Linked DNA regions of Diceros bicornis minor. Each later gene encodes a partner of the first gene's protein in a complex. Links are inferred from orthologs where the notes say so. Each region holds a gene or a part of one and is shown in the gene's direction. Other genes may lie near its edges.

Evidence for each region.
Region 2: the proteins of GNAQ (region 1) and CASR are in contact, whole or in part, in a cryo-EM structure (PDB 8SZG), measured with the Homo sapiens proteins. The link is inferred for Diceros bicornis minor from reciprocal best matches to the Homo sapiens genes GNAQ and CASR. Residues at the interface, in NP_002063.2 of Homo sapiens: His63, Leu196, Gln197, Ser198, Ile323, Tyr325, Ile337, Arg338, Phe339, Phe341, Ala342, Lys345, Asp346, Ile348, Leu349, Gln350, Leu351, Asn352, Leu353, Glu355, Tyr356, Leu358, Val359; in NP_000379.3 of Homo sapiens: Lys644, Ala645, Asn647, Arg701, Val702, Leu704, Val705, Phe706, Ala708, Lys709, Ile710, Pro711, Thr712, Phe714, Phe801, Arg873, Thr876, Ala877, His879, Ala880, Phe881, Val883, Ala884, Arg886, Ala887, Thr888, Leu889.
Region 3: the proteins of GNAQ (region 1) and PLCB3 are in contact, whole or in part, in a cryo-EM structure (PDB 8UQO), measured with the Homo sapiens proteins. The link is inferred for Diceros bicornis minor from reciprocal best matches to the Homo sapiens genes GNAQ and PLCB3. Residues at the interface, in NP_002063.2 of Homo sapiens: Pro185, Thr186, Thr187, Ile189, Glu191, Pro193, Arg202, Gln209, Arg210, Ser211, Glu212, Arg213, Arg214, Lys215, Trp216, Ile217, His218, Val240, Glu241, Glu245, Glu249, Glu250, Ala253, Leu254, Arg256, Thr257, Ile258, Thr260, Tyr261; in NP_000923.1 of Homo sapiens: Pro257, Arg258, Leu259, Asn260, Glu261, Val262, Leu263, Arg707, Asp709, Lys710, Ile719, Asp721, Gly722, Ile723, Val724, Ala725, Ser845, Asp846, Tyr847, Ile848, Pro849, His852, Tyr855, Ala856, Ala858, Leu859, Ile860, Asn861, Pro862, Ile863.
Region 4: the proteins of GNAQ (region 1) and F2RL1 are in contact, whole or in part, in a cryo-EM structure (PDB 9D0A), measured with the Homo sapiens proteins. The link is inferred for Diceros bicornis minor from reciprocal best matches to the Homo sapiens genes GNAQ and F2RL1. Residues at the interface, in NP_002063.2 of Homo sapiens: Arg37, Ile323, Tyr325, Asp346, Ile348, Leu349, Gln350, Asn352, Leu353, Glu355, Tyr356, Asn357, Leu358, Val359; in NP_005233.4 of Homo sapiens: His108, Pro109, Ala110, Met114, Gln172, Arg173, Val176, Ile177, Pro180, Met181, Gly182, His183, Ser184, Arg185, Met265, Met268, Leu269, Met274, Asp275, Asn277, Lys280, Lys281, Arg284, Ala285, Leu288, Ile289, Tyr344, Tyr345, Val347, Ser348.

The regions. Positions count from the first base shown.
Region 1 is NC_080761.1:16,150,972-16,158,879, forward strand, and holds the start of GNAQ (guanine nucleotide-binding protein G(q) subunit alpha), read left to right. Parts: upstream 1-4,907; 5' UTR 4,908-5,032; coding exon 5,033-5,168; intron 5,169-7,908.
Region 2 is NC_080754.1:23,112,355-23,120,344, forward strand, and holds the start of CASR (extracellular calcium-sensing receptor), read left to right. Parts: upstream 1-4,990; 5' UTR 4,991-5,172; coding exon 5,173-5,357; intron 5,358-7,989; coding exon 7,990-7,990. UniProt on the Homo sapiens protein: G-protein-coupled receptor that senses changes in the extracellular concentration of calcium ions and plays a key role in maintaining calcium homeostasis.
Region 3 is NC_080770.1:8,734,916-8,742,268, reverse strand, and holds the start of PLCB3 (1-phosphatidylinositol 4,5-bisphosphate phosphodiesterase beta-3), read left to right. Parts: upstream 1-4,343; 5' UTR 4,344-4,415; coding exon 4,416-4,514; intron 4,515-7,101; coding exon 7,102-7,179; intron 7,180-7,353. UniProt on the Homo sapiens protein: Catalyzes the production of the second messenger molecules diacylglycerol (DAG) and inositol 1,4,5-trisphosphate (IP3).
Region 4 is NC_080740.1:5,975,866-5,982,976, forward strand, and holds the start of F2RL1 (proteinase-activated receptor 2), read left to right. Parts: upstream 1-4,101; 5' UTR 4,102-4,277; coding exon 4,278-4,359; intron 4,360-7,111. UniProt on the Homo sapiens protein: Receptor for trypsin and trypsin-like enzymes coupled to G proteins.

The DNA.
Region 1 (7,908 bases):
CACTTCTTCAGCCCAAAGACCACCAGTTTGCACCCTGGGTCTTAGGTGGGAGTCTAGCAAAGCAGAGAGTCGGAGGTCTGGTGGCTCCCACTTGGAGCAACTCCAGGGCAGGAAGGAAACTCCTCTACTAGCGAAGTCATCCTTGATTCTTTGGGTGCCAGAAGGATCTGGATCATGATTTGGGGTGACCCGATATGTTGCTATCTGATTTTGGTACATATTCATTCATTCATTAAACATTAGTAAATGCCTTCTCTGGCTGAGACATTGGTCTACTTAGCTTAAAAATAGCTCCCATCTGGACAACTTTTTAGGGACTTCCAGTCTGATGGGACTTTGATAGCCTTTACACTGTGAGGTACAGTGGCTCCTGTGATAACGGTAACCTGGGATGAGCCCAGAATAGGTACATCGGATTGGTCAGAGCATCATTTGGACGCATTTCTGAGGTGGTAATGGAAAGATGTCATTGAGGTCCTCTGCTTTATCTAGAATATCTGTTTGGTGGCTTTGCAGGGTGAGTGTTTTCTCTTTTGGAAGAAGGTATTCTGTTTCATGCCTGGTCTTTCATCTTCAACATGTTGACCCTGAAACCCTTTTTCAACTAAGAATCATCATCTTTCTGCTATGAAAGCTGTCCTCTAGGTGGTGCCATTTGCAGCTCTCTCAGTCTCCCTGGGCCTGCTCGCCTGACTTCCCCACCAGCAAGGCCTCTACTCCTTGGCCAGACAGCTGTGCCAGCAAGCTCTCGCAGGATGTGCAGTGCTGCAGGCTGACTTCTAATTGTTCTTTCAGGTGACCCCTACTCCTTCGGGCTGCTTTGAATGGATAACTGCTCCTTCTTCTGAACTCCTCCAGCAATCCATTCTCATACTGTATGTTAGCAGCGAGTGCTTCCCATTTCACATTGTTGTTTATTCTTCTGTGCATGTGGACTGTCTGCCCAAATAGATGATTAAGCCTGTAAGGGCCTTGTCTGCCTCAGGCGTCTGGCAGAGTGCACTGCCTGGGACAGCAGTCTGTGAGTGTGTGTGCTGTGGATGCAGGTTCTGGTATTCTTTTGTTTATTCATCACTCACTGAGAAACTGTTGGGCTAGGCACTCTTTTGGGTGCCCGGAAAACAGTTATGAAAAACAAGGTCTATGCTCTCAAGCAGCTCTGAATCTCATGAGAGAGAGAGAGGAAGGGAGCGAGAGAGAAATCGACAATTACAGCCGTACAGTGCACGCTGTGAACAGCCACGCTAAGTGACTCTGGGAACAGAAGTGCAAGCTTTTCCTTCCCCAGGAGCTCCTTGTAGAAGAGTATGGCCTTTCCACTCTTTTACTCTAGGATCACTCTTAGAGACTCAGCTATGCCTTTTGGTGCTTTTCTTTTCCAGCACCCAAGGAACAGGGCCATATGATCATGGGGATAGGTATCTGTCTCAGGATACCATAGAAGAGGTGACAGTCTTCCCATTTTCCTCTGGTGTTCAGTGCTCCTAGGGTTTTGTGGTTGGCTTTTCAGCTATCTAGTAATTGCCCTTGAATCCTCAAAATGGTTTATCATCTTACTGGGGGTGATTTGGAATTGCTGATTTACTGTTTAGTGGTGTGGATACACATTTATTGAATACCTATTCATTCTTTAAGACGCATCCAAAAGTTCCCTTTCCTGTGAAGTCTTCTCCAGTTCTCCTGAACAGAATGAATTATTCCTTCCTTTTTATACCTTTATATTGTTACTTCTATGCCAACTTTAATATAAATTGATTTCATTTTGTCTTTTACTATAGCTGTGCAAAGCCTCATAATGATGTAAGACTATAAGCCTATTGAGGGCAAGGACCATATTGTATTCATCTTAGTATCCTCCCTCTTCCTGCACTTTTACCTTAGTTATTTACACATAGTAGGCAATGAATGTTTGTTGATTTCATGAACTGGGACTGGTAACATGATCCATGTTTAGTTGCATATTTTAGAGTATTTGCTTCTAAAACATGGTCCACAACTGCAGTAGTTTCTTCGTAGATTTTGTTTGCTTGACTTAGGTTGTATGAATATTTCCTTGGCAAATCCTTTCCAGATATATATGCAAAGGTTTCTGGATAGATCTGGGCTCAGACTTGGAATTTTCTTTTCCTGTTTCCTTCTTGACATCCGTATATGGCTTTATCACTGTCAAGTGTTGGTTTTCCTTACGTCCTGATTTCTTCCCAATACTTGAAGGAACATCCTTCTATTGATTTGTCTTATCCATTCAAATATCTAAGTGCCAAGGAATGCCCCTGATGCTAGGGATACAGGGGTGACAGAACAGACTTTGACTGTATCTACAATCTATTGAAACAGTTTAATTCCTTTCATCAAAAAATAGGTCAATTGAGTCAAAATGGATTACCTGATAGCTTCATGGCACAGTTTGAGAGACATTTTCAAAAATCTCAGGGGATCCTTGGCTAGGAAACCAGACACTTGAAGCTTCCTGACTGTCATGTTATCTTCTGGTGTTTTGTCTCTCTCTGAAGCTCACATATATCCATCTATTAGAGGATGCAAACTTATAATTAAGTTTTTCCCCTGAAGCCATTTAAAATTTCTGCATATTGAATTTCAATCTTCAATTTCATTGGTCATTTAATTTTAAACTTCACAGCAAGTCTAGTGGCTTTTTGTAGGCATTCACATGAAGGGGGGTGAGGGTTGTCCTTTCTGCTCTTTTGGCCAAGGTGAAATGTAATCATTTGTAGGCCAAATATCCTTTTAAAAAGGGAGCCTAAAATACAGATCTTATGTCTCGATGACTTGATTGATCTAAGCTCTGGCTTAGAGTGAGTGTGTGTGTGTGTATGAAGGGTAAAAGGTAATGGCAAATGAAAGAAGGTAGTCACACAGCTGTGGTTCAGGAAGCTTATGTGCACTCTTGACCTGTGGCAATAGTACAATCATGACCTTACTTTACACCCTGGATCAGCAGGTTGCACCAGAGACATCTCAGAGAAAACACAAAATGTGTAAAAGAGATTCCATTCTTAACATATAATTTACTCTCAAGACCTCAGGTTCCATTAAGGCAGAAAGCAGTATGAGTTTCACGTCTTGTAGCTATTAGATCCAAAAAAAAAAAAAAAAAACCTGAATGAGCAAGGAGATATTTTTGGCCATTTATCAGTCGTATATCACAACAAAATAAGGAAACAACAGTTTTAAGTAGTCTGCAACGCAAGTGTAAAAACAAAATACTAGATGAAACTTTGCCCGGGCGATCTTGGCTTTCCCATTTCTCTCTTTTGTTCTTTCCTTTTATTTTATTTCACATTATTTTGCATTTTCCCAGAAGTCATCCATAATTCAGTCTCGGTCTAGAAGGGTAAATTCGATTACTTGGCTGTTAAACATCGTGTGCCTTTTCAAAAATAGAGGAACGCTTGTAAAAAACAAAACAAAACAAAAACACCTTCCATGGCATGAAAAGTTGGAAGCTATCAGGAGGCTCTTGGAAACCTGGGCAGCTTCATTTTTCTGCTCAGGATTTAGATTTCTATCTCCAGGAACTTTGTGGCCAGTTTTGCCTGTTAAGCTCCCCCCACCCCTCCAGCAACCAGTGACAATTCCTTTTCCCCAGTCGCACTTCAAGAGGGTATCTTATTTTCTGCGACTGAACTGGGGTCAGAGGTGACGCGAGATACTTGCTAACCGCATGGCGTTTTAGGAATAGAGACGGCAGACAACACTGAAGTGGCTGAGAGCGGCCCCGGGGGCTTGACCGGCGCTGCCGGGAGGGGGGTCCCGAGTGCCGCGGCCGCCCGCGGGGAGTAGGACGGGGGTGCGCGGCGCCAGGGGGGCAGGGGGTGCGCGGGGCCGAATCCCGCGACTTCCCGGAGGGCCGGGGCCGCGTTCCGGGGCTGGTGGGCTGAAAGGCAAGCGGAGGCCGCCATATTCCTGCTCCACCACGCCCGGGCGGCCGCCGGCAGCGGCAGGTTGGCGGCGGCCCCGGCTCGCGGCAGCGGCCGCCGGTCCGGGCTGTGGCGCGGCGGCCCGACCCCGCCCCATCCCCGCCGGGGGCGGCCGTGACCGCTGCGCCCGCGGACCTCGCCGAGGGTGCGGGAGCGGGAGGCGCCCCGAGCCCTGGGGGCCCGGCCCAGCCGGGGAGCAGCGCGGGAGAGGCGAGAGGCGCACGGGGAGGCGCGCGCCGCGGCTGCGAGCCCAGGAAAGCTTTCCAGGAGGGGCCGGGCGGCACCGCCTCCCCGCTCCCCTCCTCCTCCTCCTCCTCCTCCTCCTTCTCCTCCCCCTCCCGCCGCCGCCGCCGCCGCCGCCGCCTCCCTCCCGGATCTGTGCTCCAGTTCAGAGAAAGAAGAAAATGTGTGTGTGTGGCGAAGGGGAGGGCGAGCACTGAGCAGCCGCTCCGCGCCTGCAATCGGGGCCGGGGGTGGGCGTCTGGCGGAGGCGGAGGCGGAGGCGGGGAGCGCGCGGCGGCCGGGCGAGCGGGCCGGCGAGCGGGGTTTGCGCGCGAGCCGGGCGGTGGGCGCGGGCAGGGCCGAGAGCGGCCGGAGCCGTGCCAGGCGGCGGCGAGGAGCGGGCTCGCCGGGCGCGGGGAGCCGTCGGCGGCCGCTCGCTGCGAGGTCGCCCCAGTGGATGTGCTCTCGCCGCCGGGCGCAAGGCTTAGGGGAGCCTCGGCGGCGGCGGCGCGGGGGGCGAGGCGGGCCGCCCGTTCCCGGGGAAGGAGGCGCGGGCGTCTGAGCGAGGCCGGGCGCAGCGGCCTTACCTCGCGCGCCCCCCGAGCCAGCGCCCGCGGCCGCCTCCCGCGCCCGCCTCGCTCCTCCCGGCGGCCCGAGCCGCCTGCTCGCGCCGCACCGCCGGCCCACCTGGTGGCCCCGGCCCTGGCCGCGGCCCCCGCGGCCGTTCCCCAGGCTCGTCCGGGACGCGCGCCCGGGCGGCGGGGGCTCGGCGGCCACCGCTGCCTCGGGGGAGCGAGGGCGGGAGGGTGTGTGTGCGCGCGTGTGAGCAGGGGGTGCCGGCGGGGCTGCAGCGGAGGCACTTTGGAAGAATGACTCTGGAGTCCATCATGGCGTGCTGCCTGAGCGAGGAGGCCAAGGAAGCCCGGCGGATCAACGACGAGATCGAGCGGCAGCTCCGCAGGGACAAGCGGGACGCCCGCCGGGAGCTCAAGCTGCTGCTGCTCGGTGAGTACAGCCCGGGGCCGGGCGCCGCGGGCCCACCCGCCGGGCCTTTGCACCCTCCGCCTGCCACCCTCGGTGCCCCGGGGCAAGTGCCCTCCGCGGCCCTCGCCCCCGGGCGCCGGCGGCTCGCCCCTACCCTTCCCGGGCGCGCCCCCGGCCACTACCCGCACCCGCGCGCGCGCGCGCGTACACACATACACATACACAGGCGCGCGCGCAAAGGGGTCGGGGTGGCCCTGCCCCGAGCCTCGGCGTGTGCCTTTTCGTGTCCCTAAAGGCTGTGTATCAGGGGTGCGCGTTTATCTGCTGTGCTTCTGCTAAATGGCACATCATTTCGGGGGAGAGGCGCGGAGGTGGGAAGGTGGCAGAGGGGTTGAACTTCCAGTGTGGTGGCCGCAGCGCTCGGTGGGGTGGTGGAGTGGGGAGTTGTGTGTGTGTGGCCCGAGGGTGGCGAGCGGAGCCAGGGTACGTTGGGGGATGGCGTGCGGTGGGGTGGCCTGTGTGCATCCATTATTAGTGCTTTCTGGGTTCAGGAGGGAATGGTGGAATGGTGGGCAGACTCGCAACTGGATTCTCCAGGCAGTGATGATGAGGGAGCCGAGTGGTTGGCCCTCCAAAGAAAGGAGGCTTGTGTACTCTGGGGGCGGGGAGGCGAGCCCTAATGTGTCACATAAGTGCTGTTCTCCAGCCACCAGACCACCGAAAGGAGAGACCTAGAAGAGTTTCTTGACCAGTGGATGGTGACAGGCGTGTTTCTCGTCTGCACCATTTCTTCTAGATAAAGATGAGGGATAGGGGAGCGTTGTGCTGTGTGTTGACAGCGACGAGTATCTTTTGTTTAATGAGGCAACCCAGATGTAGGCCTGAATTCACAATAGTTACTACTGAAAACCAGTACAGCCTCTCAATTACTCCCGTGGAAACAAATAGAAACCTTTTGTTTAAAACGGACAGCATTTTAATATTTTTGGAATCTGGGCTAGAAGGAAAACGGAAAGTATACAGCAAAAATTTCCCTTTAATCTCTTAAAAAAAACAATCCCACATTCTGCCTTAACACTAAGTTAGCAAGAAAATGCCATTTCTCAGATAGGAATTCTATTGATTATTATCTCTGAGAGTATGTTCAGAATGAACGATCAGGGTTCACATACAAGCCAGTGTGACAGCTCTGAGCTATTGTGGTAGGAAGAGCAAACAGCTTTGCAATAACAGGCCTGAAAAATGTCTCCACTTGTGTTCTGGATATTTGGTGTGTAATAAATACGTTTCTCAGACATTTCTGTAAGAAAAGGACGTTATATTGTCAGGATTTGAGAAGCATGCATTTTCTTTCTTATCTTGAGCATTCCATCTCCTGGTTCAAGCAACCAGTGGCCTTTGGGACTGAACTGCTTATGTACTGGATCATTTACAAGAAGGAATGAAATATAATGATCATGGAGAGTTACAAATGGTTAATTCACATGCAGTGCTCTATGTCTTCATTTTGAAACCAGATTAGATAAATGTGCACATGTTTATAAAGAAGAGAAGGCAGAATGCTGGATAAAAGAGGTAGGCTTTAGGGAATGAAGCCAGGGGAAGGGAAAACTGCCATTGGAAAATGAAGATCTTTTTATTTTTCGTTTTTATTCTCATTTTGGGCTACTTCTAATGGCTAAAACTGTGTAGTTGAATCGGTTTTCTGAATTCTCAAGATTGAGAAGAAAATAGAAGGGGCAGGAGAAATGTATATAGAGTATTTAAGTACACGATTAAGGGGAAAAGCATGTGTGTTAGAGAGACTTAAGAACAGTTTTTCTATTTCTTTTGCCCTGTTTACAGTCTTTGTTTCTGTTTTGCTGTGAATGGGGCATTTGAGGTCTCCCAAGCCAACCCTATTGCCCAAAATGTGACAGCTCTGGGTTCCTAGCAGCTGTGCGTTAGAGCCCAGGGGGTTTGTCTGTCTGGGGGCCCAAGGTTTGAATGTCTAGGAGGAGGATTTTTGGGGAAATACACATATATGGATGCTTAACTACAAACTGTGTGTTTAAATAACATACTGTGCTTTAAAAAATGAACTTGGAGATAATTTTATGAGAAAAAATTAAAGTAAAACAGTTTTACTGCTAGTGGTGGTAGTTCGGAGAACTTTTGTTTTCTGTTGTTAGATTTCAGTAAGGTTTAATACAGCCCCATCCCCACCTCCAAATATGCTCTATTGGAAGTGGTAGAAAAATATGACATTAATTTAGCACCTACACTCATTAGTAACACTTAAAATTTATAAGGCTTTCTGTTAGAAACATTATCCCTAGACATCATGTAAGAATTGCTACAGCTTCCTGTTCTGGGGTGTGTTGCTTTTGTAACATAGCTTCTGCAATACCTCCACTATTTATGTAGTAGATGCTATATACTAATTGTAGATTTATGTGTGCTCATGAGCCTGTGATTGCACGATTTCTTGAGTCCAGGAGAGAAATGATGGTTGACTTGAACCAGAGAAGGTGTTGGCAAGGGGTTTGAGAAACTCCCGGTGTGTTCCTTTGATGAGTGCACTGAATCTTCTGGTTCCTTCATTCTTTTAAACCGTACCTATCCAAAGAAGGTCACAGGATGTATCCTTGCATAGTTGAAAGTTTTACCAATATTTTTAACTACTTTATTCAAATTGAGGAATCACTCATATTTACATGAAATTCAGTATGAAATTATTTTCAAAGTAAATTTTAGTTTAAGGCATGACACCATTTTGATT
Region 2 (7,990 bases), on another chromosome or scaffold:
AGTGTGACAAAAGAAAGCAAAGATTTCAGTACAATAAACCAGAGACAAATCAGTGTACTCACCATATGAAGATAAATGATCTCTGTGGGAAATCAATTTTGGTTTCATAACTACCTTTTTTCTAGGCAACCTAGAATTTTTATTTCTGCAGCCTAGGAATTGAGAAAGTGTAGCTTTTGAGCTTGCCATGCCTCTAATTTACTGAGTGGTTTTATGGTCAGAAGATCTATGCCTCGGTTTGGTCTAGTTGGAAATGTGGGCAAAGTCATTGTGCTCTAGAGTGACACAATTTCCAGAAATGTTAAAGCCAAAGAGCAAGAGCCAAAGTGGTTTTTACTTGGATGGCAATTGAAATGTTGCAGTGTTGATTCCTAACCTTGTCTTGCTATCCTCTGTTAATCTGTTCTTGACTTGGATGAGCCATCCAACTTTTTAGACAAATGCATGTTCAGCAGATATTTTTTCAGCATCCGTTCAGTAGCAGGCTCCTTGTTCGATGCCAGGATACAACTGTGATCACGATGAGAAGCCTCTGCCCTCAGAAACCTTCCATCTTGTGGGGTGACCCCTTCCCTCTTCTGTCCTAAAATTGCCCAAAGCCTCGGTTTTTACTGTTCATGCTTCACTCATTTATTCAGCAAACATTTGTGGAGCATCTACTAAGTTTCAGGCCCTGTGCTTGGTGTGAGGCTACAATGAGGGGGAAAAGAGACAGGCCCTACCCTCATGAAGCTCCCAGTCCCCGCCTTGATTTAATTCTCTCTCCTGCCGTCACCAGAAAGAAGTCCTTGCTCTCTGCTCCCTCAACACTTAGTTTATGCCTCTTCCTAGCATTTGCATCACTGTAATTATAATACATCTTTCTGTCTCCTTTTAAACCATGAGCACCTTGAAGGCAACAATCTCAACTTTCTTTCTGAGCACCTTGCACTCCCTAGTGTCTAGCACATAGAGGAACTCAATAAATGTTTTTTGAATGAGTAAATAATTGCATGAATTTACAAATGCACAGACCTGTGGAACCATAGACCAGTCTGCCCTGATCTCCCATCCTACATCTCTTGGGTGGGGAACTCAATGATCAATCATCTGTCAGTACTCAAACACTCCTCATGATTTCAAGGACCTTCTAAACATAATACCAGCTGGTCCATGGGTCATTTCCTCTTCCAGAATGGATCTGCCATTGAGAGAAAGAGCAAATACTAGCTTCAGCTTGTGTTTGCAGTACTTTTTTTGCAGGAAAACAAACATGATTATATATGGTTTAAATGAAATAAACTCATAGTAAGGAGAACAAATGAGCTAATTTGTAACTCTTGGATAAATACTGTTAATATAGCTACAGTAAGAAAAAATACAAATACAGTGGCTTAAAAAAGCTAGAAGCTCTTTTTCTCTGTCATGCAAAAGCCCAGGAATAGTCTGAAATCAAGGTTCTGCTCCATGAAATCCTCAGCTCGTGGCACAATCATTCCCCAGGATATGGCTCTTGGTTCAAGATGGGCTCCAGTTGTCACATCCACCTCCACGCAGCAGAATGGGGAAAGAGGGGGAGGAAGGGACAAAGGGCAAACACCAAGTTTCCTGGAAGCTGCCACAGAGCCCTTCAGTTTACATTCCATTGGCCAAAACTTAGTCATATGACCACATATAATTTCAAAGGAAGTTGGAGAAAGTAGTCTTTATTTTGGACACTTGTCCAACTAAAATCTATTTTACGGTGGCATAAAAGGAGTACAGATACAAGGGATACGATTAGAAGTCTCTCTCGCAGATACTAAAACTGAAGTGTTCTTAGTGATTATTCAAGAACTTTTGTACTCTAACTATTGCAAGCTGAAGTCACAATGATGAACTCCAATTGTTCATCCACCATGCTGCGATCATACTTGAACCACTCTAGTTGTCGATACCTAGGAGATAGGAGGAGGAGGTAGAAAGAAAAGAAAGCATTTGCAACAGGGAAATTGAGGAAATGATGGGAGGGGACCAAGGCAGTGGCAACAGGAATGGAGAGGAGGAGGAGTGAAGAGAGAAGGTAGAATCAACAGGACAGAGTGATTGGATATTGGAGGAAAGGGAGGGGGAGGATCTAGAGTGAATCTCAGCTTTGAAAGCAAATTAGATTCTGGTAATTGGACTAAAAAGGGTGGTTTGGAGATTATGTGAGACTGATGGAGTTAACTGCTGCAAATTGACCTGAAATCTCTCCTTCGTCTATTACTTCTGGCCATGAATTTCCTGTCGAATGGGCTAATGAAGTTAATAAACTTCTCCTAGTGGTTAATCTTTCACAAGAAAGATTTCGCAGGTTTTAGTGACTCACCCTAGCCAGCTGTAATGTTCCCTCTCCTAAATCAGTACACTACACGGGACTCCATAAAATTCCGAGTTCTTGAGGCATTCTTATTTCAAGTGCCAGAATTTCTCACTTGAGTAAGCTGAAAATATGGAGAATCTATTCCCTAATCTAGAAAGTGGAGTTGGTATTGCCCTCTTTACAGTTGTGAAGTTTAAAATAGACTGGATGTTTAAAGCAATGCCTGGTTCAATAAATGCTAGTTTCTATCTCTTTCCAAAGTACCTTCTCTTTTTATTCATTCATTCGACAAACATTTATTTGGCAGTTACTACTTTAGACACCGTGCTAAATGTTGAGGCGTAAAGTTGAATGTAGTCATAGAAAACAAAGTTACAATATTTTTTTTTCACTGCTCAATGTTGACGTAAATTCTGATGCTCTACACCAGTGTGCCTGTCCACTGCACTGGAAGTTCCTGAGGACAGGGTACATGCGTGTGTTTGTTACCTTTATATTCCCAGGCCTTAGCACATGTACTTATTAAATGAATGAATATATGACCAAGGTCCAACCCAAAAATCTAAAAGCGGGGCTAGAATCAGAGAACTAGGATGGTCATGGATGTTCAGACATTATTGGAGACAATTCCATGAATGTTGAGTGTCTATTGGGATGCTCCTTCCAAATGGGGCCCAGTGCTAGAATGGCTATTGGAGGAGGGGTTGGGGTTCCTGAGGGGTAAGGTGTGGTTCCTAAAGGGCAAGTGGCTGCAGATGACAATGGTTAAGAGCTTGGGCTCTGGAATCAGACTTTACACATGTAATTATAATAAAGTATGATGAATCTTCCAAGAGGGGACCTCCAAGATCCAAGATGTAAAAGACTATAACAGGCGAACCTACCTAGTCTGAGAATCCAGGGAAGGCTTCCTTGAAGAATCCTATAAATTGCTCACTGCACAACTAAGGGGTTAGCAAGGGTGGAAATATGGCCTGTGCTCCACTCCCCAAGCTGGACACCTTGGCCCAAGGCTGTGTCTGCCCCACAGGAGTTCTTTTGTCCATTCACACAAAGGCTCCACAGTTCACCAAGCCATGCCCCCGCAGTTAAGGACATCTGAAAGCTGAACGATAAGTAGATGTTTTCCAGGCAAAGTTTAGGCTAGAGGGACCAAGGAGGGGAAACAGCATGTGTGAGATCTAAAGAAGTTCTGGTGTACTTGAAGCACTGAAGGGAGTTCGGTGTGGCTGGGCTGTGGAGTTCAAAGGGAAGACTGGCAAGAGTGAGGCTGGACACGTATTCATTACAGTTAGCATTCTCTGTGAGTTTACTAGTTACACTGTGCTAATGGCTTTGCATGCATTATTTTATTGAGATCACAGAGGTTAAGTGGCTTTCCCAAAGTCATATGTTAGGAAATAGTGAAACTATGCTTCAAAGCCAGGTTTAACTCTAGAGCCTGTGCTCCAAACCACTTGTTCCATGGCATCCAAAGATTTGCAAAGGTGGACTGCAAAGGGATAAAACTGAAAGCAGGAAGGCAGTTAGGAAATAGTTGGAGAAATCCAGGTAAGAAATGCTGGTGGACTTAAGAAGGCCTTGTAAATGGGAAGGAGTGGATGGATTCCAGAGAGATTTAGGAGGTAGAATCTACAGAACTTGGTGGTGGTTTGAATATGAAGGGCAATGATGAGAAGAAGGAGGAGGCAAGGATGACACCTTATTTTGTGTCTTTGTGGATGGCTCGTCATCTGCTGAGATAGAAAACAGTGAAGGAGAAACAAGTTTGGGAGGAAGGTGAGTTTAGAGCCTGTCAAGTTGGAAGCACCTCTGGGACATCCAGGTAGAGATGTCCAGTTGACAGTTCAATGCTTGCGCCTCAACCTCAGCAGAGGGTCTGTAGTTAGATACACTGACATATAGTTGGTAATTGACCCACAGGGTGGGTGAGATAGAGTGAAAAGAGCAGAGAGTTCCTACTAGGATAATGGTGCTAAAGCAGAAGGACTTTTCCCCAGATCCAGCTGTTGAGCTTTGTAGAGTATAATCTGACCCTTGATTTATCTGCGTCCTTTACAAGAACTGTTCTTCAAAGGTTTATGGAGTGTCATATTACAAACTGGAACCAGAGATCTATGATGAGGAAGCACAGAAAAGGGGGGCTAATAAATAAAGAATAAGTGGCCTTTTCTGACATTTTGGTTTGATTTAAAGTCAGATTTAAACCTAAATATGACTCATTCTGTATTTTCTATAAGAACATATGTGCTGAATAAAATATCATTAATATTATCATGCTACTACCAGGCCAACTCTGTGCATTATTCATGCATAAAAATGAATGGATTAAAATCTAGTGGCAGCATCAGTGGAGGCCTTAGCTTATCAACGGCCTCTTTAAAATGTGGCCCCTTACAGCTGAACACAGTCCTTCTCCGATACAGGCAATTGAAATTTCTGTACCTTTCATGAAATGCTATAAAAAGAAGACTCCAAGCCATGCCTTCCCCACCTGCTATCCCTCAGCCTCTCTCAATGGAAATTCTGAGCCACCTCTGTTGCACTCATCATAACTACATGGGATTTAGGCTTAGCTGAATTCATTTTGTCTCTCTTTTCTTTTAGAAAGCACCACAGACAGTCTCTACATGATGTGGCTTCTAAAGACTCAAGGACCACCCACCTCACTAGTCTGCAGCGGAGAAGGCAGAAATGGAATTTCAAACACCATGGCTTCCATCTTATTACTAGTTGATCTGTAGACATGTGCCCCCACCACAGGGAGTGAACTGTACCAAGGGGGAAAGTCCTCGGGGCCCCCAAAACACCAGCACTCTTGTCTTCCCCCCTGGAGACAAAGCAGAACTATGGCGTTTTATAGCTGCTGTTTGATCCTCTTGGCCTTTACCTGGTGCTCTTCCGCCTATGGGCCCGACCAGCGAGCCCAGAAAAAAGGGGACATTATCCTCGGGGGGCTCTTTCCTATCCATTTTGGAGTAGCAGCCAAAGATCAAGATCTAGAATCAAGGCCAGAGTCTGTGGAATGTATCAGGTAAGGGAAGGAGCCAAGACTCTCTTCTGGGTGGTTGGAGAAAAGCTGTACTAAACACAAAAGAATTTTTTCAAATTTAGTTCTCTCTTTTCAAAAATCGTGATTGGTGGGGCCGGCCCGGTGGCGTGGTGGTTAAGTGCGTGCGCTCCGCTGCGTGGCCCAGGTTCGGAACCCCGGGCGCGCACCCACGCGCCACTTATCAGGCCATGCTGTGGCAGCGTCCCATATAAAGTGGAGGAAGATGGGCGTGGATGTTAGCTCAGGGCCGGTCTTCCTCGGCAAGAAGAGGAGGATTGGCAGATGTTAGCTCAGGGCTGATCTTCCTCACACACACACACACACACAAAAATAGTGATTGGTACTCATGCTGAATCTTTATTTAAAGAATTTAAATAAATTTTTTTCAAAGAATTTTTTTTAAGGAATTTTTGCCAAAAATAAAATGTCAAAGATACTGAGTAGAAAAATCCATGGCCTGTTGGAGCACATGCCTGGTCACTTGGTAACTGAGTCATCATTGTGGCATGACCCAGGCATCTTCGAAATGCAGCCCATAGAATTTTGGAACCACTCCCATTAGAAAGTCTTTCTTATAGAAAACTGAAATCCCCCTGCTAACACAGAATCCATCTAACACAGATGGAGAAACACAGAATCCATCTAACTCTCTCACTGGACCTCTCTCTTCAGCCATTTGAAGACAGCTAACATGTCCCCTTGAATCATTTCTTTTCCAGGTCAAAGAGTCTCAGTTTTCTAAACAATTATTTCATGACATGATGTCCAGACCCCTCACCATTCTGGATGCCCTCCATCTGATGCTCCCTAATTATCATGACTCTTAGGATATGGCGTCTAAAAATAGACACAATTCCTTCAAATAGGATCTGACTTCTGCAGAGTACAGTGAGCTGTATATCACCTCCCTTAATCTGGACATCAGAGACCATTACTGCACCCCATGTCCTGATCCATCTTCTAGGAGAGAGAAGCTCTTTCTCTCTGAGTCTTGCAACTTCCAGAAGGGATCCAGCACTTTTCCTTGGTCTTCCTGATACCTGGAAAATGAAAATGAAAACTAGGATTGTTCTAAGAAAACTGGATTTCTGTTCACATTCTAATAAGAGCTAGCAAATTAGATAACATTTTCACATTTTTCTTATGAATGCAGAAAAACTAAGTGCAGAGTTTCACTGAGACTGATTATATCCTTCACATAACCTGGGTGGACAAATATCCTCTTTGTTGTACCCTGCTGGACAGAGTTGTGCATGTGCCGTGTATATACCTCTTAATAACTTTGCAAGTTTAAAACAAGTAATTAAACAAACAAATGAAGGAAACGTAAAGAAAATGACTAAGAGAAAATGTCACGTTAACAATTAAACCAGGACTTTTAGGAACCTAAACAACAGATTGTATTTCTGTATTTCTATAACATTGTATTTCTCACCTCCTGTCATTGAGGTCAAGTAGTGAAACCATGATATAAAGAGAGAACCTGCAGAGCTGTTACGTTTTCTCCTTGGGGCACTGATATACTGAATCAGCATGTTTATTGAGCCCTCAGTCTGAGCCAAGTCTTGGGAGAGTGAAAACTATGTCACTGACCTTAATTCTCTTTGTTAATTTGCTTGATTTTTATTTAAAATAATGTTCTTTGAATTTGTGACAACATGGATGGACATTGAGGGTATAATGCAAAGTGAAATAAGTCAGAGGGAGAAGGTCAAATACCGTATGATTTCCTTCATTAAGTAGTAGATAATAACAACAATAAACAAACACATAGGGACAGAGATTGGATTGGTGGTTACCAGAGGGGAAGGGGGGAGGGAGGAGGGTGAAAGGGATAATTCGGTACATGTGTGTGGTGATGGGTTGTAATTAGTATTTTGGTGGTGAACATGATGTAGTCCATGCAGAAATAGAAGTACAATGATGTACACCTGAAATTTTTACAATGTTATAAACCAATAAAAAAAAAAAAAGCAACGCATGCTCATTTTTTAAAAATAGAAAGTATAAATAAAACAAAAGCACATAATTTTAAAACTCATCATTCTACCACCCAGAAATAACCACTGTTTGTGAACAGCCTTCCAATGCATAATATTTGTTTGTTTGTTTACAAAAATGAGATCACTGATTTCCTTTTCCCCTTTGACCTCCAGGAATGTCATAGTCTAAATTTGTGACTCTGCAAATCTGAAGTTATTTTTAGGCTCCCACATATTAAAATCCTAATCTATTTATATTTTCCCTGGTCCTTTTTCTTTTTAAATCTTTATGTTACTTTTATTAAAGAACCTCACATCAGCTACTTCAAATTCTTTTCTGCATGAAGCAGACACAAATTATCTTTCTGTTACTAATAACAACCTTCATTATTATTACTCCCTAACTCTGTTGAGATACCATGCTGAGAGCTGTACATAATCTCATGTTCATAGCCACCCTATGAGGTAGGTGTTATCCCCATTTTACGGAGAGGACTTTGAGTCTCAAAAAACATGACGTCATGAAACCAAAGAGTAACAGAGCCACAGTTCAAACCCAGCTTTGACCAGTTCTTACTCTAAACAGTTGACCAGAAAGCCTTCCATTTCCTTCCATCTCTTCTTTCTTCCAGG
Region 3 (7,353 bases), on another chromosome or scaffold:
CGCCCACCGGCCAAGATGGCGATGGGGGACGGAATTATGGGAAATGTAGTTCGCTGGGTCCGACCCCGCATGGCCGCCCCTCCCCCGCAGCGGAGCCCTGTCCCGGGATCGCAGAACTTCTTTGGGGCACCCTCCCAGGGCTGGCCTCGACAGGACGCGGCCCTCTGCACCCTGCAACCTCTGCGTGTACAAACGAGGAAACTCAGGCGTAAAGAGCTAGGAAGTGGGGGAGCCAGTACTCATGATAATAAAGATAATAATAACAGCTGACCCATAATAAGCGTTTCTCGAGTTGGTTCCAGCTGGTGACAGCACCGCGCTCAGCTCTCCTGCAGGTCCTCGCCCTGCGCCACCCTCTGTCCTGCAGATCTCACAGGCGCCATACCTGGCCCACCGCTCTTAAGCGGACCGGGTCTATGTTGTTCCTGCACCCACCCCGTCTGATTTTCTGTCTCTTTCAATCGTCTCTCCCATTCACTTGTTCATTATCTGTCTCCGTCTTCCAGACTGTGAGCTCCACGGGGCCGGGACCTGTCCAGCCCTTGTTCACTGCTGATGCCCAGGGCTGAGTCGGCCTGCTCGGGTTCAAACCCACGTGTATTGGGCAAATTACCTGATTCTTACTGAATTCACAGCACCTATGTCAGACTCATAGTAGGTGGTGGAACGAATGACTGAATGGAAGAATGAATGGCTTTCTCTGTGCTTCCATTTCCTCAGAAGGTTGTGGGGAAGATTAAACAGGAAAATGCATGGAAGGTTCTATGACTGCACTGTTAATTAAGTCACATGAACCCAGGCTGTGTGCTCAAACCCCACGACACAAAGTCTCTACTCAACCCCCCTCCTCCCCTTAGATACCACCCGACAAGGTTGTGCAGCTCCTCTGGGATGCTTCTGCAGATGGCAAGATCACCCCCTGAGGTCCCAAGCAGAGTCTCAGGGTCTGAGAGGCAGTGTTTCTGTCTCAGCCCCTCACAGACACCCGCTCTTTGGAGGCCAGAGAAGCCCTCTGCAGCGGGCAGATTCAGAGAGGGGTTGAGACTGGCCCAGGGTCACACAGCTGGTGCTGGAACCAAACTCAAACCTAGGACTTGAGGCTTACCCTGTAGTTGGGGAGAAGAGACAACAAGAAGGCAGAGGCTGGGAATCGTATGTGTGTGTTGGGGGGTGAGGTGGGCTTCTCGTTGAGGGGCTGAGTGGTGGGCAGGCTCTGTCCAGTGTGGGTAGAGCAGGCTGACGCCTCTTCCCTCCCCAGCCCTCCTTCTGGCCTTAGCCTCCCTTCAGCCAGCCTAAGGGGCCAGGAAAGGGCTGACCCTTGCTCTTACAGATTAGGCAGGAGCCACCCTTTCCCCTGGGAGCCCCATTCCCAGCCTGGGCTCTGGCTCTGAGCCTGGCCTGATGGAAGGAGCAATTTACCCAAGTCCAAATTCCCCACCACACTCCACCTCACCTCACAAGGCAGTCTGCGCTTTCTGAACCCAAGCATCGATTCGGGCCTTGGGGGCACTCATAGTTAAGAGGGGGGATATACCATAGCTTGCTGTGGGAGGAGCCTACAGGCCATGAAGACCTGGGTGACAGCCCCAGCTCTGCCCCCCAGATGCTGTGACCCTGAGCGATGACCTTCCTGTCCCTTCTCCCCTCAGCCCAGTATGAAGTCCTTCTGTCATGTCCAGATTTCAGGGTACCCCCTGGGGGTTCTCTGGGCAGGGCAGGGAGGAGCTGGGGATGCTCTTCCTGACTTGCCCCCTCTCCACCTTCTACGCCACTCCGAGGGCACTCCAAATCCCGGGGGCCCGCTCCCTTGTCCATCCAGTCCCTTCCCACGGCCACTCCCCACCCCCACCCCAGAACAGTTAGTGCAGATGGCCATGATGGCCTGCAGCCTTCTTGGAGGCTGGCTGCCCTGCATAGAAGCTTGGAGTGGAAGAACAGGGTTCAAATCCTGGCTCTGCCCAGCAGGCTAAGAAGCCGTGGTGGGCAATCACTTACCTGCCCTGAGCCTCTTCAAGGGGCTGATCCTACGGACCTCTGGTGGTTGGGGTCTGAGAGCTCGGTGCTCCGGGGCCTGCATCCCAGCCCTTGCTCTCCTGCCGGAACCCTCCTGGGACTGAAGCCTGCGGCGGCAGCGGCTGCTCCTCATCCATCCAGCCTCAGGCTGTGGCCTCCCCAGCCCCACCCCTTCTGGGGTCCCGGCCCCTCTCCACTGGAGTGCAGCTGAGGCTGCTTTCAGCGCCTCCTTGAAGCAGAGGCCCTGGGGAGGGTCCTGTGGGCTGCGACCGCTCCCTTAATTGAGGGTAGAGGCCGGAAAAGCTGCCTTCCTTCCACCATTACTGCTTGCCGAGAAACCCTATTAACATTACCAAGGATGGGAGAAAGTGGCTAAGGAGGAAGGAGCCCCTCTAATGGGGGCTGCCCTGGCCTCAGGAGACATGGGGGTGGAGGGGAGCAGGGGGGAGGCTCAGGCCCAGGAAACAGGCTCCCATCCTGTTTTACAAGGAGCTGCTGCTCAGCGCTTCTAGGAAGTACCCCCATCCGAGGCCCAAGGCCTACAGCTTGGACCCCAACACCCTGGCTCCAGGCCCTGCTAGCCCTGGCATTGGCTGCCAGGCCCCAGCCCCAGAGCCGACCCGTGCCCTTTCCTCCTTCCTCCCTGATGCCCCCACAGCCTGCTAGCCATCCCTTAGATGTCCAGCTGCCTGCAGCCAGGGGACATCTCATATCCATTTGCTTATTTCATCCTCCGAGAACCTCCAGCTTCTAGACAAGGTGACTGAGGCCAGAGAGACTAGGTCTGCTGGTAGACTTGAACCCAGGCCTGCGGGAGCAGAGGCCAGTCTCCACCCTGTATGGCTCTGCCCAGTGAGACCTGGTGGTCCCTGGGTCTCTCAGGGGGATGGCTCTGCTGCTCTGGTGAGACAGGATCACAAGTCCTGTCCTCCTTTTTTTTGTCTCCTCAAGGGCAAGGAGTGGAGACAGGATGTGAGCCAGCCTTCAAGTCAGAGGGCTGAAATCCTCCTACAAAGCTGTGTGGCCTTGGGAAAGTCCCTTCCCCTCTCTGGGCCCCAAGTGAAGATAATAATCACACCCCGCAGGGCCTTAGCAAAACGCAAGTAGCTTTGTTATGTTAGAGTTGGTGTCCAACATGGTGGGGATCTGGAGGACGGCCAGTGCTACGCAGGGCTCCCCTTGGGGGTCTGAGAGCCCGGGGCAAAGGGGCCTGCAGTGCCCGCGCCTCCTCAGCTGACCCCTCCTCCCCCAGAACCAGCTCCATCTCTTTCTGGGTTTCTAGGTGACTTGGCTGGCCCCTCTGGATGAGTTCTACTTTAAACCTGCTGCTGCTACTGCCTCTGTATTGGGGGGGCTCCCACAGGGGCCCCCAGGCAGGAGCCCCCCCAGCCAAGCCCTGCGGGAGGGGCCGCAGTCCCCACCCATCCCAGTGCCCATGCGCCTCCCCCCTCCCATCCCTGGAAGACAGCAGATTTCAGGGCACCTGCTGTGGGCCAGGCCTTGCAGAGCCCCTCCTTAACCCCCCTTGTTAGGGATGCCCACAAGGATTCAGACCCCTTTGCAGTTTTCAGCGGTGAACCTCACAGGGACAGGCTCCAGGTTGGGTCACGGGTGTCTGCGGAACAAGAAGGGGGCTGTTCCAGGGCTCGCTCTGGAAAGGCAGGATGCTTGGGTCCTCAAAGCAGGCTTAGGCGCCCGGCCTCCCCGGGCTAGGGACGGGGGAGGGGCGCCTGCAGGCGCGAGGCCCATTAGCTGGCTAAGTGCTCCCAGGGAGGGGGGACCGCGCTGCTGCAGCAGGGGTGAGGCGAAGTGAGGGCGGGGTGGGTGGTGGGTGGGGGAGCTGGGGGGGGGCAGTGGCTTTTCCTGCACTCATCTAAGTGCTGCAAGAGTGGGGGCGGGCAGGGCTCTATGCCCCCCGGCCCAAGTCTGCCCCTCCAGGAGTCCCCCCGCCCTCGCCCCTCAGAAACCTTAGTAGGCCGGTCTTCATCAGCGCCCTCTACACCCAGTCCCTCCAGCTGCACCCCCAACAGCCCCCTTGGCCTCAAGCGCCCCCCCCCAACCACCCCGGGCGGGTCCGTCTGAGCCCCCAGCACAGCGCCGGGTCCAGGCACGCCCCCGCCCCATCCCGCTCTGGCTGCAGTGGCCGCCCCGGCCGCCAGGGGGAGCCGACGCGGGGCGGGCGGGCCCGACGCGGTGGGAGGGGGCGGTACCGCCGCGGCCCCGCCCCCGGCCCGCCCCGCCCGGGCCCCGCCGATTCTGGTCTGTCCGGGACAGACTGGCGGGCGGGCGGGCGCTGACGCCGCGGGGCCGGAGCGGGCCGCGCGGGAGCGCGCGGAGGGAGCAGCGGCGCCGTCGGTCCCCGTCGGGGCTCCGTGGGTCCCCGGCCCGCCCCCGGCCCGGCCATGGCGGGCGCCAGGCCCGGCGTCCACGCGCTGCAGCTGGAGCCGCCCACCGTGGTGGAGACCCTGCGGCGCGGGAGTAAGTTCATCAAATGGGACGAGGTAAGCGCGGGGGGGCCCCCTGCTCCGCCGGGACCTGGGGACTCCCTCATTCAAGCTCGGCCAGACGCCGGGGACCCCCAGCCCGGCTCGGCCTGGCCAGGGCGCCCCGCCATCCCAGCCTGGCTGCGCTCCGGAAACTTGAGTCCCCAGTCGTCCCCGTAACGAAGACTTTGTCCCCGACCCCCCCGCCCCAGTCCTTCAGCTGCGGAAAATTTGCCTTTCCACTCTTTGACCCCGAGACTTCGAACCCCAATAAATCCCGGCCCCCTTTTTCACTCGCCCTTCCCACCCCTCCCTGCCGGTCTAATCCTGGTTCCCCAGACCGTTGTCCGGCACTGGACTCTCTGGTTCGATGGCCCCCAATCTGGCTCAGTGCACCTTCAATCTGGTTGGGTGCCGCCGGGACCCTACTTTTCCTAGTGCCCTAGCCTGGACATTGTTCTCCATTCATCACTTCACCCTATTCTGGCTGGCACCCCGGCGTCTGGATCCCAGCCCAGCTCCCTGCTCAGGTGGGAGCACCAAGTCACCCCCACTGGAGACTTTGCCCCCCAAGTTCCTCCATCCCTGGGGAACTTTGCTCTCCACTCCTTAGCATCGAGACTTTGAACCCCAATAAATCCTGACCCCTCTTTCTAGCTGCCCTGTCCTGGGTGCTTCCCAGGTGCTCCGGCCCCCACCTGCGGCTCCCCGACCTGGCCCGCGCCCCACCCTCTTTTTCACACGCCCCCTCCTCTGCTCTCTGGGCCCCTCCTTCCCCAGGGCCTCCACCCGGCCTGCCTGAGCTTCCTCGCTGCTCCTTCCCAGTCAGGCCAGAGGCCTGGAAGACTCTGGGCTCCTTTCCGGCTGGGTGGGGCTGGTAGGCGTGGGAGCTGGGGGGAGGTGCTGGGGGCGTGGCCTGGGGCAGCAGGTGTGCCTTAGAGGGGTGCCTGGGAGCCCCAGGAGCCCGGGGAGACCCCTCCCCGCAGGCAGGCCTGAAGGAAAAAGTTTCTCCTTTTCCTTCCAGTGTGATAAACCCAAATAAGGAAGTGGGAACAGGGAGAGGGCCCTGGGGGTGGGGTGGGGGTTGCTGACAAGGACTTGGGGCTAGAGAGGTGGGGGCCTGAGCTGCTTTGAAGGCCAGACCTCTGGGGAGGGGTTGGGGGAGGCCCTGGGGACAGGACCCACAGAACTCCCCCCTCCTCACACTATTGGGGAGGCCTGAGCCCCAGGGCAGGGAATCTCAGAGAGGGGCTGAGGGTGGGTGTCAGCACAGCGAGGTGGGGAGACCCAAGCATCCCCAAAGTTCCGGGGCCGCCTCTCTCCTCTGTCCCCAGATCAACCTCCCGTCCTTTGTAAGCAAAGCCTGAAATGGGTGGGGCTGATGCAACCCCCATTCACCTGAAGAGGAAACTGAGTCTGGAAAGTGGAGACTAATCCCAGGTTGTGGCTGAGGCTGGGGACTGGGAGCCTGGTTCCCTGCTTCCCTGCCACGGGACTCAGAAGAGATGCGAATGCTGGCGCCTCTTCTTGACGTTACTCAAGCTACGTAGCCTCGGTGTGCCTCAGTCTCCTTGTCTGTTGAGTGGGCGCGAACTTCCTCGGGTTGTTAGAGGACTGAGTGAGCTTCCGGATGCGGGAACTGTACTCGGTGCACAGTAGGGGCAGCGTGAGGACGGGCTGTTGTGTTGATGATATGAATGTCCACCAGTGAGCAGTCTGGGGGTGCACCAAGGTGACATGGGGTCCTCTCCTGGCCCGAGGAGCCTGGAGCAGGAGGCTTCTACCTGTGGCCGCCTGGCCACTTGGGCCGTGGCCAGGTCTTAGCCCCTGATGACCCCCCGTGGCTGCTGGCCCTGGGTGTGTGCCAGGGACCAGGCCCTCCTCAGAAAATGGGGCCAGCACACCCTTCCCTGCCCTCCTGCCTGCCACAGAATTCACCGTCCAGTCCTGAGAGCAGGGCGAGTCCCGTTCTGGGGGGACTCAGTCCGTGCTCTGTAAGATGGGGGAGCCGCAAGTCTGTGAGGATCTAGTGGGGTGCAGGGAGGGGGGTAATGGACTTAGAGGCAGATGTAAGGGGTGGCTGGTTGTCGTGGGACCCCGGGGGACACAGAAGGGCTGTGGGAGTCAGACTTCCGAACCCTCTGCTTTTATCCCATAAATATTCCCTAGGGGGTTCAGGGGGGCTTCAACCGTCAGGGAGCTCTCAGACCTTCTGGGGAAACTGAGCCCTGGGCTGGGGTCCGAGGAGGCTTCCACAACGAGATGGGTCAGATTTCACGGGTAGAGAAGGAAGGAGAGGATATCCCAGCAAAGGAACAATGATGCAGAAGCTGGAGGGGGGAGAGGGTAGTCAGTGGTCCGTGTCACAGCCTTAGGGCGAGACAGAGGTGAGGATGGGAGTGACCCAAATGTCACACCTAGGACCTCAGCTTTGTCCTGAGGACTAGGGAGCCACACCGGACCTGTGGGCTGGGTGAGGCTTGTCTTCACTTACTGGCAGAAACGCTGTGGGGGGAGGAGGGTGTGGTTGGCCCCAGGGGTCCAGGGACCAAGCCTGGGCTGCAGCCCCTACTCCCTGACCCCTGCTGTCCCTTCCTGTCCCCAGGAGGCCTCCAGTCGGAACCTGGTGACCCTGCGCGTGGACGCAAATGGCTTCTTCCTGTACTGGACAGGACCCAACATGGTGAGGGCGGGCACTGGTGCAGCTAGCTCAGGTCAAGGGCCCCCACCCCAGACCCCTGACCGCCCCCGAACCCCGGCCCATAGGCGTGGGGCCGAGCTGTGGGCTGACCTCTCCCATGGCTCCCTGGACAGGAAGTGCTAAGGGCAGGGGTGGGGGCTGGGGCTACAGCAGGGG
Region 4 (7,111 bases), on another chromosome or scaffold:
TGCACGGCTGGAACAGAATGAGTGAGGGCAATATAGGAGATGAAGTCAAGGAGGTTGTGTGTGTGTACAGGGGAGGAGGGCGGGGTGTATAAACCTGTGACAGACTTTGGTTTGTACTCAGAGGGAAGTGGGGAGCTACTTCAGTATTTTCAGTTGGAAGTGATCTGATCTGATGCACATTTAAACAGGTTCACTCTGACCGCTATATTAAGAGATGACTGTGCAGAGGGTCATGGGCAAAAGAAGGAAGACAAGTTACAAAGCTATTGTAATAATCTAGGCAAAAGATAATGATAACTTGGACCATGGCAGTATTTTGGACGTGTTGTCAAAGTAGGATTTGCTGATAGATCAGATGTGGAATATAAGAGAAAGAAGTCAAGAATGACTCCAAGATTTTTATCAGAGCAACTGGCAAGTTGGAGTTGCAATCTAAGGAGATGAGAAGATGATGAGAGGCGTGGGGTGGATCAGGAATTTAGTTTTGGACTTATGCTTGATATGCCTATAGTCACGTGCAAGTGGAGATGTTCAGTAGCTGGATGGATATGTTATGTGTCTAGAATGGAGAGATCTGGGATAGAAATACAAATTTGGGAGTTGTCAGCATATAGATAGTACTTAAAACCACAGGACTGGATTAGGTCACCAAAGGAAATGAGTGCATGTTGCCAACAAAAGAAGTCCAAGGAGAAACCCAGGGGCACTCCAGGATGTAGAGTTCAGGAAGGTGAGTGAGAGCCGGAAAAGAACCAACACCTTCTGAGTTGCCAGTGAGGTAGGAGCAGAAGCAAGACAGCAGTGGTCCTGGGGGCCAAGTGAACACAGCATTCAAGGAGGGAGAGATCAGTTGTGTCAAATTTCACTGTCAGGTTGAATAACATGAAGACTGAGAATTGACCAAAGGATTCACCACGTGAAGGTCACTGCTAACCTCTTCCAGAGGTTAGCACAATGAATGAGTGACTGAATGAATGTAACTTTTCCTCCCTCTGTATTTGACTAGGACCCAAGAGTGCAGGAACTGTGTCTTTGTTTCTCCAGGAAGAGTTTGATGAGTTTGATAAATGATTGTAGAATTGATTGAATGAAATGACTTTTCCCTCAGTGTCTGGCCTCCCCAGTTCCAACTGTATTTTCCTTAGACTTGTAGAAGGTGGGAAACTGACAAAGTTTTCAATTCCCAGAAGCCAGGCTGTCTGGAATTGCCCAGGGGTCATTTTGCTGTACTGTTCACAGAGCCAGACAACACCCCAAGGCCTTCAGGGCAAAGGAGTCATCAATATCTAAAGAACAAATACTGTCACAGGAAAACTTCTGCCAAGTGACTCAGATGAATGTAGTTCATTTAGTCAGGCTGCTGGGAGCAATCACATTCTTGAGATAATGAACTCATAGCATTGTTCAATAAAATATTTTCTTGGAAATTCTGATGATTCAGGACATATTTCCATAGGATACCAGTGAAAAATTAAAGTGGAAAACAGCTGGACTTGATGCATTCTTCTCTGAGAAGAGGAAGAGTCATTGGGGCAGTCATTCTACAGGAGCCACCATTGCTTGAGTGCCTACCAGATACCAAGAACTGTGCTAAGAAGTCTTCACGGGCATTTAGCAACCTGAATCTTCACAACCACCCTCCAAGAAAGGTATGACCATATCATCATCCCCAGATTGTAGACGTCATAATAATAGGTCACAGATGATGAAATGGAGGCTTAGGAAGATCGAAGGGACATCATAGGGATTGAGTATCTTCCCTAGTGAGGGACCCTCAGGAGTGACCTGATCCCCATCAGGAGAACTGTCATACAATAGGATGAGGCAGTCCCCAGAGCTGCTTCTAGAAGCCAGCTTTTCCTGGGCATAGGCTGAGGCGTGTGGCCTGGGAGGCAGCATCCTGAGAGCTGGAGTGCAGGTCGTGAAGACTCCTGAGAGAAAGGAAGGAAACAAATAGAATGTTTGTTGAACTTCTATCGTGCATCAAGCACAGTCACAATTTACTTTATCCTCAGACAACTTTAACCTAACAATAATTAACTCCATTTTATAGGTAAGGAACCTAAACCTTAGAAAGGGTAGGTAATTTGTCCAAGGTCACACAGATGTTAGCCAGAGGAGAAGCCAGAATTTGCCCACAGGGTTACATGGTTTCAAAGGCTAAGCTCTTTCCACATTCCCAAAAGAACTCACTGGAGACACGGCAATGAGAGATTCCTAAGAGATGGGCCTACTGAAAGGCAGCCATTGAAGAGAATTGTCTCATTCACCAGACAGTTTTCCCTGGCCATTCTTGTCTGTGTGTGTTGGGAGGCAGGCCATTCCTCTTAGGCAGGGAGAAATTATTCCATTCTCATGGCGTGTTCAGGGCCATTTCCTTCTCTTCCTTTTCAACCATTTATTTCCCTGCTCTGTGAGCTCCTCTGTCAGGGCAGAGGGAAGAGGCATAATGCTAACCGTCCCCTTAGGTAACTTTGGGGAAATGATTGGGGATATGGTTGAAACAACTGGCTAACATGACATTTTATACAATTTTGTCTGCCTGAATTATCTGGAACCCACATTAGTTCTGTTAATTGGCCCCATGGTGGGTTCAGCAAGAGGTCATACAGAGGACACAGGGCCTTTATCAGATGTAGGCTCCATCCTAGAAACTCACAGGCCCAAGATTGTGGCTGTTCAGTTTATGGTTGTTCAAAAATTAATGATGGTCACTGGCAACTGACTCACCAAACTCAGGTCTTCTGGGAAGAATCATGGACTCTCAGGGCTCAAGCCCCTCAAGAGGTTATCTGGACTCACCCAATCTGGCCCCTAAGCCTGGAAGGGAAATCCCTCTCCAACATGCTGGACCCATGCCCTGGTCCTTGGTGGCAAGCGTGCAGCCGTGTGGACCTCAGCTTCCCCAGTTAGAAATCTCTTTCTACACTGAGCCAAAATCGGCCTCCCACTGTGGCTTCCACCTGTTTCTGCTCTGGAGCTACTCAGAAAGCATCTAATCCTCTTCTACATGCTAATCCTTCAAATATCTGAAGACAACACTTGCCTTTCTCTTTTCTGCTCCTCCGCTGCCCAACAGTTTAAATGGATAACAGTAAACTTTATTTTACCTTTTCAAAGCGAGTAAAAAGTAAGACATTACCAATATGATGAAGGCCCTTGTGCACCCTCCCCAGTCCCTCACTCCTCTCCCCATCCCCTCTATCTGCTTGTGTATTTCTTTAGGCTAGGGGTCCCCATGCGGAAAAGACCCCGGTGGAAGCATTTGCAGCGCAGTGATTAATAGAAGAAAGTGGCAGTCATAGACTACAGTTTAAATGTGATGGAGGTTTACAAACTGTATCTATAAACTGAGTAACTGTCGGCAATTTATCCAACCTAAGCTCCATTTCCTCCTCTGTAAAATGGGAATAATAATCACACATATTGTGCGTCGGGATTAAACTAGACAGTGCTCCTAAATCGTTAGCACATGGCACTTAAAGTAGCTGTTCGAACTGTTTTCTGCCCTGCACCTCACAGACGAGGAAATGGGCCTAGAAGGGGGTGGAGAGGTTTGTTCGAGGTCACAGCTAGTTAGCACAGTTGGAAACCTAACCCCAGATCCCTGACCCCTCCCGCCGGGACCCCTTCCTGCTCCCCACCGTTGGTGTCCGCAGCCGTCCATCTGCCCCAACAGATTAGAAACTGCCCCCTCATCCGACAGTGCCCACCACACTGGGAAGCCTCTATCAGCTACAACAAGTGCAGTGAGCTCGAGTCTGACTTTTGGCCATGTAGGAAATGGGAGGGAGGGAGATGGACGATACTGGCTCCCCTGGATCAACGAAAGGTTAAAGGTAGTTCTAGGCGTTGCCCAGGCCAGGATGACCCCGCGATCCGAGCGCTCCTGCCATTTGCATTCCAACACAGCCACTTCACCCGCCCAAGCCCGCCCTCGGGCGGGTCCGGCAGCCTGGCGGACGCAGCTCGGCACCGAGCGCGGAGCAGGGGTGCGGAGGCCGGGGCGCCCAGCCGGGTGGCGGCGGGTGCGGCCGGGCGCCCGCTGTGCGGGGGGCGTGGCCTCGCGGCGCGGCGGCCCCGGGGCGTGGCCTCGCGCAGGTGCGGCGAGCGGCTCTGGTTTCGCTGCAACTTCTCCGGCCCTGGGGAGGCGAGCGCAGAGGCTCCCGTTAGGGGCAGGTGGAAGGTGGCTTTCTCTCCGCGCGGCGAGCGGGCTCTGAGTTTCGAATCGGTGGCAGCGAACTGCGCGCCCGCCGGGCGTCGGGGCTGCTGCAAGGATGCGACGTCCGAGCGCGGCGTGGCTGCTGGGGGGGGCCATCCTGCTGGCGGCCTCCGCCTCCTGCAATCGCGCCGTCCCAGGTGAGAGACTTGGCCGAGGGGGGCTCGTGCCGCTAGGGAGCGGGGTCCCGGGCGCCTTGGGCAGGTGGTGGAAGCGGGGCAGGTGCGCGCAGGGTGTCCTGCTGCCGCCGCCGCCGCCGCCTCGCCGCGTCCCGCAGCCTCCGCTCGGCGGCTTTGATGGGGGGATCCTGCGCCCGGGGAGCACCAGCTGGGACAACCGGGGAGGCTGAAGTCGGCGGGGAGGAAGAGGAGGGAACGGAGAGCTCGCGGGTCCCCGGAGGGCTCAGCCTCCTCCCCGGGGGTGGCTTCTTTGCAAACACTAAGTCATTAGGAGCTTTTCGCGCACCCCGGCGACTTCCTCCAGGCTGGCCCCGTGGGACCCCTGCAGTTAGCGAGGTGATGGCTCAGGGCGGGGTGGAGTGGGGGGGAGCCCGCGGCCTGGAACCTTCTATCTCGCTTTTTGCAACCCTTTCAACCTGCGGAGCCCCCTCTTTGGGGTCGGCCCACGGCGTTCGAGACCCGCCCGGGCCCCGCAGCTCCTCTGGCGCCGTGGACGGCCCGGGTGTGAAGTCGGGGCCGGCCCCCGCTGGCTTCTCGGGGTGACGCGCGCTCAGCCTCGAGTTTTAGGCCAGTTGGGCGTCACGCGGGTTTACGAATGGAACTTCTTGGACCCTGCCTCGTATTCGACCAGGTGACCTTACGGCCTGGGCCTCCGGGTCCTTCCGTGGCACACGCAGCGTGCACTGGCGGCCCCTCAGGGCTGCAGGCCGGAGGCTGTCAGCCCCGGGCACGGAACAGCGCGGGAGCCGTCCGGGCGGTGCGCCGGTGCCAGCTTGTGCGCGGCGGCCGGATCCGCGGGCGGCTGCCCCGGGTGTGCTCCAACTTGTCCTGCTGGGGGTGGAATCTCCCGGCCTGAGCAGGCCTCTGAGGGCGTGGGGGAGGTTTGGCCTGAGGTCAAGCTTCTGTGATGCTAACGGACGCCCCGCGGTTTCGGGGAGCCAGGGTGGCCTTATAAGGGAGGCTTTAATTTCCCTGCGAAATTTGCAGACCTGCTGGAAAAGGCAGTTTCTCACTTTTATCCTCTTCATGAAGACGTTTTAAAAAGACCAGATCACTGTGAATTTCAGTTGGATTGAAGAGTATGATTCTTTTCCCCCCGGAGTTACGGAATAGGATGTTATGCTGTATATTTGAAAACTGCCCACTGTATACATTTTATTGATCAGCAACAGGAAAGGCATTTATTTCGGGGAAGTATTGAAACCGTGATGAACACTTCTCCGTTTGCCTTTGTCTTTTAAAGTTGGAAACTTAAAATTCAGGAGCAAAACTTAGTATATGCAAACATTTTTTAAAAACATGTGAATGTAGGTGATTGAACGCTTTTATGATTCAGACAGTTCCTATGGGAAGCTGCCCCTGAGTGTTTGGCTTGTTCTTGTTTACAAAGCGAGAGGCAGGGGAGTATAAGGTGAACTTGATTTAACAGCAAAAAAATCAAATTACTTGTTAACCAGAGCTATTTAATATTGTAGCTTGGTTTTTTTTTTGTTTTTTTTTTTTGTTTTTTTTTGTTTTTCCTTCAGACTTCTATTCCTTTGCAGTTAACTTTGCTAAAGGGTAAGCTAATTAATGGTGAGACATTCGGTAGATGGAGCTTCCTCCCAAGTTGAAACTAGGTTGGTTTTGATTAAGAAATACAGCATCACCAGAGTTTCTCTGCCCCTCGGCACCCGTTTCCTCATCCACTTTCAGCCTGACTCGCAGGCCTGCTCCTCAGTTTGCCACAGGGCAGATATTAGGTTTGATTTTCTTCCCAAAGGTCTCACCCCAGAAGACTACCTCATGGCAGGGACCTCAGCCTGGAGTACCACCTTCTCGTTTTACAGACAGGGCCATTGAATTGATGGGGGGCAAGGAAAACACCCCGTCAGGCCCCTGCTTTCCTTCCCATCACAACAGTAATTGATAATTATTTGTGTAAATATGTTTAATCTGTCTCGCCACTGGATCATATATTCTGGGAGGCCGGGGACTCTAGCATCTTCTCCATCACCATGGTCCAGCACAATCTCATTATCTAAAGGACCTTGGTAAATACCAGATAAAGAATGAAGTGAGGGGACTTGCCCAGTGACCTGGCAGGTGGATGGCTGTTTGGCACTTCAGTCGGCTTGTTTCAGGCACTTACTGTTTTCTACCGTGTCATCAGCCTGGGAGGTCCCCTATAATGCAGTAATTCCATTTTTCTTTTGGAGACTGAAACTTCTCTTTATAATTGATTTTTAATTATACAAGTAATGTGTGTTGACTGAAGAGGAAAAATGAGCCAAAAAGTGGGGGGAAATTTAATTAAGTCACCTCAGTTCCCAAAGTAACCACTGCTAACATTTTGGTCTATATCCTTTCCCATGCTTTCATATATCCATGCATAAAATATGTACTGAAAAATATAGAAAATCTTTTTGTACAAGTTTGGAATTATATAAACATCAGTAGCATGTCAGTAAATATAAAACATCTTTAATGACTCTAAAGTATGTTATAGGAGGATGTATCATAATTTTTAAAATTTATTTATTTATTTAAAGAAAATCCCTCCCCACCAAAGCCCCAGTGCATAGTTGTGTATCCTAGTTGTAGGTCTTTCCAGCTCTTCTGTGTGGGACACCACTTCAACATGGCTTGATGAGCGGTGAGTAGGTCTGTGCCCAGGATCTGAACTGGCAAACCCTGGGCCGCCGAAGTGGAGCATGCAAACTTAACCACTATG